Sus scrofa: one gene and its partner. The protein of the gene in region 1 purifies or fractionates together with the protein of each later gene. This does not show direct contact. Links are inferred from orthologs where the notes say so. Each region holds a gene or a part of one and is shown in the gene's direction. Other genes may lie near its edges. The genes, in order: ATP2B4 and NPTN.

What was found.
Region 2: the proteins of ATP2B4 (region 1) and NPTN purify together in Homo sapiens (co-immunoprecipitation; 3 studies listed by BioGRID and IntAct, with this or other methods). This does not show direct contact. The link is inferred for Sus scrofa from reciprocal best matches to the Homo sapiens genes ATP2B4 and NPTN.

Annotation. Positions count from the first base shown.
Region 1 is NC_010451.4:64,334,771-64,339,291, forward strand, and holds the start of ATP2B4 (plasma membrane calcium-transporting ATPase 4), read left to right. Parts: upstream 1-1,693; 5' UTR 1,694-2,116; intron 2,117-2,726; exon of another isoform or gene 2,727-2,972; intron 2,973-4,521. UniProt on the Homo sapiens protein: Calcium/calmodulin-regulated and magnesium-dependent enzyme that catalyzes the hydrolysis of ATP coupled with the transport of calcium out of the cell. By regulating sperm cell calcium homeostasis, may play a role in sperm motility.
Region 2 is NC_010449.5:59,767,081-59,771,459, forward strand, and holds the start of NPTN (neuroplastin), read left to right. Parts: upstream 1-1,333; 5' UTR 1,334-1,735; coding exon 1,736-1,826; intron 1,827-4,379. UniProt on the Homo sapiens protein: Probable homophilic and heterophilic cell adhesion molecule involved in long term potentiation at hippocampal excitatory synapses through activation of p38MAPK. May also regulate neurite outgrowth by activating the FGFR1 signaling pathway.

The DNA of each region.
Region 1 (4,521 bases):
GGAGGTGTTGGGTTAGGAAAGGAGGATCAAAGAGATCTCCTCCCAAACCCTGAAGCTGTGGCCATTGAGACAGGCAGGGACCTGGGACCTGGGACCCTTTGCTGCGGTGGCTGCAGTGCTTGCACCTGGACAAACATCTCCCAGAGCAACAAAATACAAAGAAACTGTAAGTGTTTAAAAATAGCTTCATACATGCGCAGTTGGGACAGATTATGGGCAAGAAGATACAAAAAAACTAAAAACGCAACTACCACTTCTGAAGAGCAGAGAGTAAAAGCAGGGTAATAGGCCTGCCCCCTGCACACAGTCACCAAAGAGCAGACCACCTAAGCCACTCCTCTGGCCCAACCTCTGGAGCCGCCCCTACACTCACCCCAAATAAGGAGCCAGCTCGTATCCCATCCCCACCCCAGCGAGCCAGCAAGGGAAACCGTTGGAAACTGCTGCAGGGGCCCCAGTAAAGCCTAACCTGAGTTTTCCTGTCTGGCCTCTTATCAATTTCCAATGATTAAGAAAGCTAAGAGCCCAGGATGATAATACTCAGCTTCTCCACATCCTAGTTTACCACTCTAATCTGTGAGGTGTGTCACCCTGCCTTCATTAGCAAGTGAGTGTTTGTGTGTGTGCTGAGGTCTACGGCGTGGGAATTTATCAGTCAATGAAGATATGCAGTGTGAACCAGTCGGGGATGCATGTTTGCACTTGAAAGCCAGAAGGTTTTAGGCGAAATCTATGGGTGGCACTGTTGCACAATGCTGGTGGGTGTGTGGCTGCTGGGGTGTGATTTAACAGTTTACAGTCTGTGTATAAGTGTACCTGGATGTCTGAGTGTGTGCAAATTAAAATGGAAATGTGTACTGTAGCATGATACAAGTGCAGGAAAGTACACAGACTGGCTTTGGAGTCAGTCTGACTTGGGCTTGCATCCTTGCTCTGTTATTATTAAACAGATGTGGAAGCTTGGGCGAGTCACTGATTCTCAATTTCCTGAACTCTGAAATGAAGATAATAAGTACCTTTCAAGATCGCCATGAGCATTAGAAACGAAACCATATATGCAAAGCTTTTGGTGCCATAGCCCACACGTAGTAGGACTGAAAAACAGGCAGCTATTATGCACTGTGGATGTACCTCTGATGGGTACAGAGGCAAGCGGGAGCCAAGTGTGACCCGGGACTGTGTGTGTGAAATCTGGGTGAGGAGTGTCTACTAAGGTGTGTCTATAAGCAAAGCTATGTACTGGTGTGTATGTCTGAGCAATTCCTTTTCCTCCTCCAGGGAGCCCCTCCTTCAGACCAGCGGCAGGTGGGTGGCAGGGAATTGTACAAGTTTTCACAGCCACCTTGGGTTCCCGGGTCCTGGTTCTAAGTGAGTTAAGAGTTTGAGCGGAGCTGCAGGAAACCAACCGCCTGCAAAAGCTTCCTTTTTTTCCCTCCACCCAGCAACGGTTGAATACCGCCACCCACATCCACTCCCACCTCCACCCCCACCCTGCCTTCCTTTTAACGAGGGAGAGCAAGGGCGGGGGGGAAACCCCACAGAAAAGAGGATTCCTCCCCTTCTCCCCCAGTCCCCCTTAAGACAAATCAGGAAGAAGCCGCAGCTCGCCATCGGGCCACCTTAACAGTAGAGTAATGGTCTGGCCTCTCGCCAAGTCCCGCCCTCTTCCAGCCCTCGCTCCTCCCCTTTCTCCTCCCGCCCAGGCCCGGCTGGTGAGCAGGAGTCTGGCCCGAGTTGGCTGGAGCTGTTGCCATGACAAGCATTTTCTTAAGAAAGCTCTGCTGTTGAGACCGTCTGAAGCGGGGGGTTGAAGGGGGGGCACGAACTTCCTGGGGAACGGTCTCCCCGAGGAGGGCAAGCCCAGAGACACCCGCCCAGCTCCCAGCACCCTTTTCTTCCAGGAACCTGAGAGGTCCTTTCCTTTGGGAGGGCTAGGGGAGGAGACCCAGCCCACTCCCCGGTCGTAGCTGGAAAGGCAGGAGAGACCAGCCAGCATCTCCGGCGTGGTTGCCACACGGGGGACACCGGTGGGTCGTCACCCCCCCCTACCTCTGTCCATGGAAACCCGGAGAAAGAGTCCCGCGTGGAGAAGCCTGGATCTCTGCTAGAAAGAAAGGTAGGTTTGCAGAGAATGAATTGAATCTTGATTTGCAAACTTAGTTTCTTTCTTTCCTTTCAGTGGCTGATAAAATTCTCTGAATTTCCTCTTCCTAGCATATTTCTTGCAGCTGGGTTTAGGGGTGTGTGTGTCTGTGCTCGCGCACAGATTTGTCAAATACTATATTTCCTTCCTAGACTCAGTTCTGAGAAACGTATAATCAAACAAGTGATTTCTCTTTTTTTCCTTCGAGTTTTTGTCATTCCTGGGCTGTGGGGCTAGGGAAGTGGAGAGACTGTATTTTTCATACCCAAATGGAGCTTTTGGAAAAAGCATTTATTTTCCCCCATTCGTTCCTGCCCTCCCCTCCCCCTTGGCTTGGGAATGAGACGCAGAATGGAAAACTGTTGCAAAAATATTTTCCGCGTCTGTTCCCTTTCTTGAAAGCCCCAAAGAGAGATGGGAAAAAAAAAAAAAAAAAAAAGAACTGAGTACAAAATGCTCAACAGGAAGGAGGGGCTGCATCGGGGACTGGGAGAGGGGCTCACTGGGGGATGGGTGGAGGTAGGCGCTAGAAGTTGCAAGTGGGGAAGGGCAGTGCACAAATTAAATTTCTTTGGCTTTGTAGGGAAACCTCAGCAGTTTCTCTCTACCGCTCGCAAAACATCCTCAGACTTTCACGTCTATAATTAGCAGTGGAAAAAGCTGGGAGTTCCCTTGTACTGCTGTTGTTTGAGTGTGTGTGGAGCGTCAAGAACCAACTGTATGAGTGTCTCTGAGGGCACCGCCCCGTACATCGCTGGTCAAAAGGGGAGAAAGCAGAAGGGGTGAAGTTTGAAAGTTTGCAGTTTCAAGGCTGGTGACCGTGGGGCTGGTGAGTGTTTGGCGGTTGGGGGTTGCCACAGGCATCCTTGGGAGGGTCCCCGAGCAGCCTGGGCCACTTGCTAAAGAGCTAGAAATTAAGACTGGGATTGTCCCTCCTGCTTGTCGTTCACAAACACACTCACTCAAATACTTGGCTCGCTCTCGTGGTGGAGGAGGCCGGCTGGCATCCTCCCCAGGCAAGTCCAGCCTCACACACTCCTCCATCTCACTGAAGGACCCACCGCTTTTCTCTTGCTGGCTGTGGAGGACCCAGGAGTGTCTGGCCACATCCCGGGAGAGAGTGGGCACTCTGCTGGCCAGAGACACCACCCTCCTGGGCATTCCTGCCTGACTTAGAATAACTTGCAGACGGATGTCGGCGCCAGCCGGCCTGGTAGGGGGGAATCTCAGCTGAAGAAATAGGCGGGCACTCAACTGACACCACTGGGGGAGGGGAAGTAAAATCCCACTGTAGCCTGCCACCTCCTCCTTTGGGTGGGGTGTCTGGCAGGGAGTCTTAAGATCCTCCCGGATGTCCTCTATCTCCTAGTTGCCCCTTCTTGCCCATTCTATCTGGAGGTCATCCCCCACCCCCTCAGCTCCAGGCCCTCTTTACAGGGAAGAAGGGGAAGAGACCAAGGTCATTCTAGGCTGAGACTGGCGAAGGAGAGGGGCCTAGGGTCAGGACGGACTAGGTAGAGAAAGGTTTAGGAGGAGGGCAGAAGGGGGTGGTGCCCTGATGGCTAGTGAGCTAGGTTTCCTGGCTAGGGGCAGTGGCCTGGGGAGTGGGCTCAGCAATGTGGGTCCTGCACCTGAAACTTGGTGGTGGGCCGAATGGCGAAAAAGAAGCACCTGCCATCTGCCCCAGCTAGTTTGGTTGAATGAGTGGTAAAGGCAGAAACTGGAAAGAAGGAAGCAAACGATGTGGAAGAGAGCACAAATGGGGCCGGGATGGATCTGCCTGCACCCCAAGGCCAGACAGCTCCTCTCTCTGGGGAAGGGAATGAGGCCTTACCCAATGGGCAGGGAACCCCGGCCCAGATCCATGCCCTTGTTCTGTAGAGAGGCGGGGAGGGGAATCCGTCTCTTTGCTCCTCTTCGGGAGCCCCATCCTCCCCGCCACCATCTTGCAGAGGTTCAACCCTGAAATCACGCCCCTTCCCCCTCCCCACCCCCCTGCCCTTTGGGGGGCCCATAATCCCACAGTTCCTGTGGCCGACCTTTCCATTTTCAGTGCTTTCACTAAGGGTAGATTCTGGTAGGTTCGGGAGGGCTTCTCCCTTGAGGAGCAGGTCCCTATTTAGCACCGAGGCGCCTGCTCCCTTGGCCTGGAGTCCGGCGTGGTGGGGACGGGGTGGGGGGACGGGGCGCGGGGATTGACCTCCTCTTAGCCCCAGCCCTTCCCTCGGGTCGCGGGGCGGGGTCTGTGCTGCCACTTACCCGCGACCCCTCCCCTCGGCTGCTCTGCGGCCCCGCCCGGTCGCAGCCTCTCCCTCAGCTCCTCTCCAGCCTCGGGCTCTGCCTTCCTCTGAGGATTCCGTGCACCACAGCTCACTGAG
Region 2 (4,379 bases), on another chromosome or scaffold:
GGTTACCAAAAACATTCAGAACTTGAGTAATTTGTGCCTCTTTTGGCTTTAGTTGCCCTACCCCTAAATGAGCATAATCATTTTGTAAGGATTCCTAATCAAATGGTGATTTTGATTATGGTTATGATGAGGCAGGATGGTTGTATCTGACCAAAGCTTCCATCAGCTGAAAACACTGGTTCTACCACAGGCAGCCCTGCAACCCTCCACATAGAGCTGTTTGCTGAATATCCTTTGTTCAAAGATACATGTCAACCTTTTTGTTACACATCTGAGGTTTTGAAAGATATAGTTTCATTTCCGTGAAAACATGCTATACTTATAGACCCAGTGCTTTCTAGAAAACTCAGTCTGGAACCACCAGCTGTGTGGTTCTTGCTGAAAGCTTATAGACCGCTTTGGCTTGAGAGTGTGAAGATTATGGTGAGTGCTTCTTCTTACAGTTTCTCCAAGTTTTCTCTTCGAAATGAGTCAGGTCACTGGGGCTGTTTACTTGGCTCCTCTTGGTTTCACTCCACAGACACTCCCCAGGATGTCTGCTCTGAGTCAGGGATTAGCTAAATCACAGAAACTCCTTTACCAACCAAGGATTGACAGGGCTCGGGGTAATGCCAAAAATACCCTTAAAAAGAGCACTTCCCAAACTTCCATGCAAACAGTAGTGACCACATTGCCAGAGCACTTGGCTGGCTCCCTTCCTATGGATGGTTTTCCTGTACAGTCATTTTTCTTCCTAGTTCCTCTGATAGACTAGGTTGTGAACTTTTTGATCTGGGTTTCACAGCAAATTAAAAACTTGGTACACAGCAGGTACTCAAATGTTGGCTGTGTGAAAATGCTTCTGAAGAGTCTTCGTATAAGTTAATACATGATGGCATCCTTATAGAATTTATTGTCTACATTGTCTAACTAGCAATTAGGCTAGTTGAACTTCAGGCCTGAGATTCTAAGTAGTTAAAACAAGGCCAAAACGAGGGGAGGGGGGGCGGGGGGAATAGAAAGGCAAGGAAAAGGAGGACATTTCACGCAGAGGGAGATGAGTAAAGCACAAGGTAATACCAGTTGTCATTTAGCCTGAAAGGTTAAAACATGGGGGTTAACGTGGGAGGCTGAAGCCAGATGTCAGGAGGGAGTCTAAGGTCAAAGTCCAGATGGAAGAAATAGCAGGACTTTGATAGAGAACAATGAGAGGAAGGCTTAAAAGAGGCGGTGGTGCATTAAATTTTGCAGCCAAGCGCTCCAACAAACGAAAGGCAGGATGGGCGGAGGAAATATTATGTTCCCAAAGCTTCCTCTTATTTATGGGCGTTTCACAGAGGGATAAGCTAAATGCAGACTTCTCGGTTCCCCAAGGCCAGGAGAGCTTCAGGAGCCCCGCCTCTCCCCATCACGTGGCCAGAAGCACCGTTGGCACGTGATCCACCTCGCGCTAGGCCAATCGGCCTCTCCAGGGGCGGGGACACAGAGTCCGAGGGGCGGGAGGATCGCTTGCGGCCGCCTCTTCTCGCGATCCTTGACGCCGTCGCTGCTCAACCGCCCACGGCCGGGAGAGATTGTCTCGCGAGGCCTGGGCGCTGCGGCGGTAGGAGGAGGACGGGGAAGGACGGAGCCGAGCCGCGGCTGCCTCCCTCGCTCTCTCCCTGGCACACTCGCCCGCCCCCTCCCTCCCTCCCCTCCCTTCCCCAGCCCCGGCTCCGGCCCCGGCCAATTCGCTGTTCGGTCTTCTGCAGGGAGGATGTTGGGCTCGTCGCTTCCCAGCGCCCTGGCCCTCTCGCTGTTGCTGGTCTCTGGCTCCCTCCTTCCAGGACCAGGCGCCGCTCAAAACGGTAAGCCGGGCGCCGGGGGCGGGCCGGGCGGGGGCTGAGGGACACTGGTGGCCGGAGGGAGCCGTCCAGGGCCCAAGGAGGTGGCGGAGCTGGGGGAAAGGGGCCCGTCGGAGTCTGAGGGGCTGCGGACCCGAGAGGAGCAGATGCCGGTTGGGAGTTCGAAGAGGCGAGGGTGTGAGAACCGGAGGCGCCTGTCCGAGAGGTGGGGGCGTCCGATAAGAGCTCGAGGTGTTGCTGACTTAGAGGCTCCACGTCTTGGGCTCGTCGCTCTCAGTCGGGGAGGGGACACCGAGGAAGCCGACGTGGGGAGCCGGAGTAGCGGGGGCGGATGAGGAGGGGGCGCAGCGTTTAAAGAAGGCGGCACAAGACAGGCGTTTGTGTTTAAGGTAATGGGGAGTGGTGTCAGGCTCTCCTTGAGACCAGGGGTCCCAGGCGCTGTAAATGTCCAGGATTCAACTGGGGCCCCGTGAAACTGGTGACATCCTTAAAAAAATAAGGGAGATGTTGGGGGGAAGGGAGTCCTGAAGAATACTGAGCAGAGTACTAGAGCCTTAAGGAGGGCATAAAGAATCAGGGAGCCTTGGCTGTGGAGGTGGAGGGAAGGTGGGTGGAAAGCCAAGGTAGTGGGTTGACTGCAGTAGGAGATCTAGAAAGAGGAGCAGCAGTGGCTCTAAATGAGATGGGGAAAGAGGGCTGGGTTTGCTAAGGAGGGTGGAGTGTTGGGCATTCTAGGGTAGTGGTTGGGAGAGCAAAAGGGAGTTTCTAAATAAGGAGAGGAAAATTGAGCAGAGGATGGGGAGAAAGGCTTGAAACTGAGGGTAGGGGGAATTATTTATTAGCGAAATAAGGGTGCCTGGCTCTAGAGATGGGGGTGGGGGAAGACAGAAAATAAAGGAAGGGAGTAAAATGCAGGAAGCCGGGGGTGTAATGTTGGTTTACAGTGTGGAGGATAAATTAGGGAAGGGAGGAGCTGAATGTGGCAAGTGTCTATGATACTGGTGGGGCCTTTGGGAAGGCAGGGACGCATAGCTGGAACTGCAGTGGTGGGATTGAGGGCAGTTACCGGAGAGAGGGAGATGAAGGAAGTGGATTTTTAAGATCTAAAAGTTTCAAGACAGAAGAGACATTATTTCTGAAGAACATAAAGGTAGTCCTTAGAATTCGTGTGCAGGGTACACTTGAAAGGAGAGAATTGGGTTTTGAACTGAAGCTCTTCAGAGAAGATGGAAACATGGTGATGGGGGATTTAGATAAAAAGATTCTGATTGTTGAGGGTATGTGTCACAATTGAGCTGCCTAATTGATCTTTTAGAGATGAGACTAGAAAGTGTTCTGCCTAATTGATCTTTCAGAGATGAGACTAGAAAGTGTTGTGAACTGGTTTCTGCTCTGTGGAAACAGTCTTTAAGAGGTTTAAAAAATATTTTTATAGGAAAAACATTTATGAGGGTGAACTCATACATGAGAGTGCTGGAGAAAGAGTTATAAACTATTTTTGCTAGTTCTTTGGGGTTTCATTGTTTTTATGCTAGAACAGTTTGCAGTTACTCTTGTGAATAGCTGACATTTAAATGTTTTTTATTAAAAAAAAGGTAAATGTTAGAGCTAATGGAGTTAAACATTCTAAAGAGAATCTAGGCTCAAAATGCTGAAGATTACAGTGAAAAGATATCAATAAAGATTGAAAAAGCATCATCAGTTAAATATAAGTGTTTTTTGCAGCAAATTGTGTGAATCAAATCTTGTGTATGCTTCATGGCCATGAATGATCACTGCAGGAGTCAGGAAGGAAGCATTTTTCTGTCTCTAGCATTGAATATGCTAAGTATATTGGGTATTTTCCTATTTTCCTCCAAAGCATGAGGCCACGGTGGAAAGCGGGATAGAATCAGTCTGATTTATCTTAGCAGTTTTTAGTCTGTGTTAATAATATGACTTAAGCCTAATAACTAATTTCACCTATTTGATTTGTAGATACAGCAAGGTTTCATTCGGCACAATTAGAGGTTTTTGATTTTTAACATGTTTAATCTCTGTGCTAGCATAGCTTCTTTTGAAAATTTATAATACGGTGAAATTGTAGTTTCTTAGCAACTAAAGGTTTTTGGATAGGCCTACAAAGACTCATCTGGTTGTTCTCAGTGATATGTGTTCTAAATACAGCATAGTGTGCAGCCTTTTCCTTGAAATGAGCTTGAATTTGATCACATGACATGACTGGTGAAGTGAAGCTGAGCTTGTAGTTGACCCAAATGAATGTAAATTTAAATCGAGAAAGAAATGGCTCTGTGTGTGTGTGTGTGTGTGTGTCTGTGTCTGTGTCTGTCTGTCTGTCTGTCTGTCTGTCTCTGTCTGAGGGAGAGGGCAAGAGAGAGAAAAGGGCTGTTTTTTGAATTGGAGTCCATATAGGTTAGGATGCCATTTTATAGCTTTCTATATAGCATGTCTATAAGATTCAAACTTTCAATTAGTAATAGCTTTACAGTAGTCTGACCTCATGTCATGGAGTTTGTATTTTCTTACAGTATTTCAGGAATGAATACCATGCTCTGG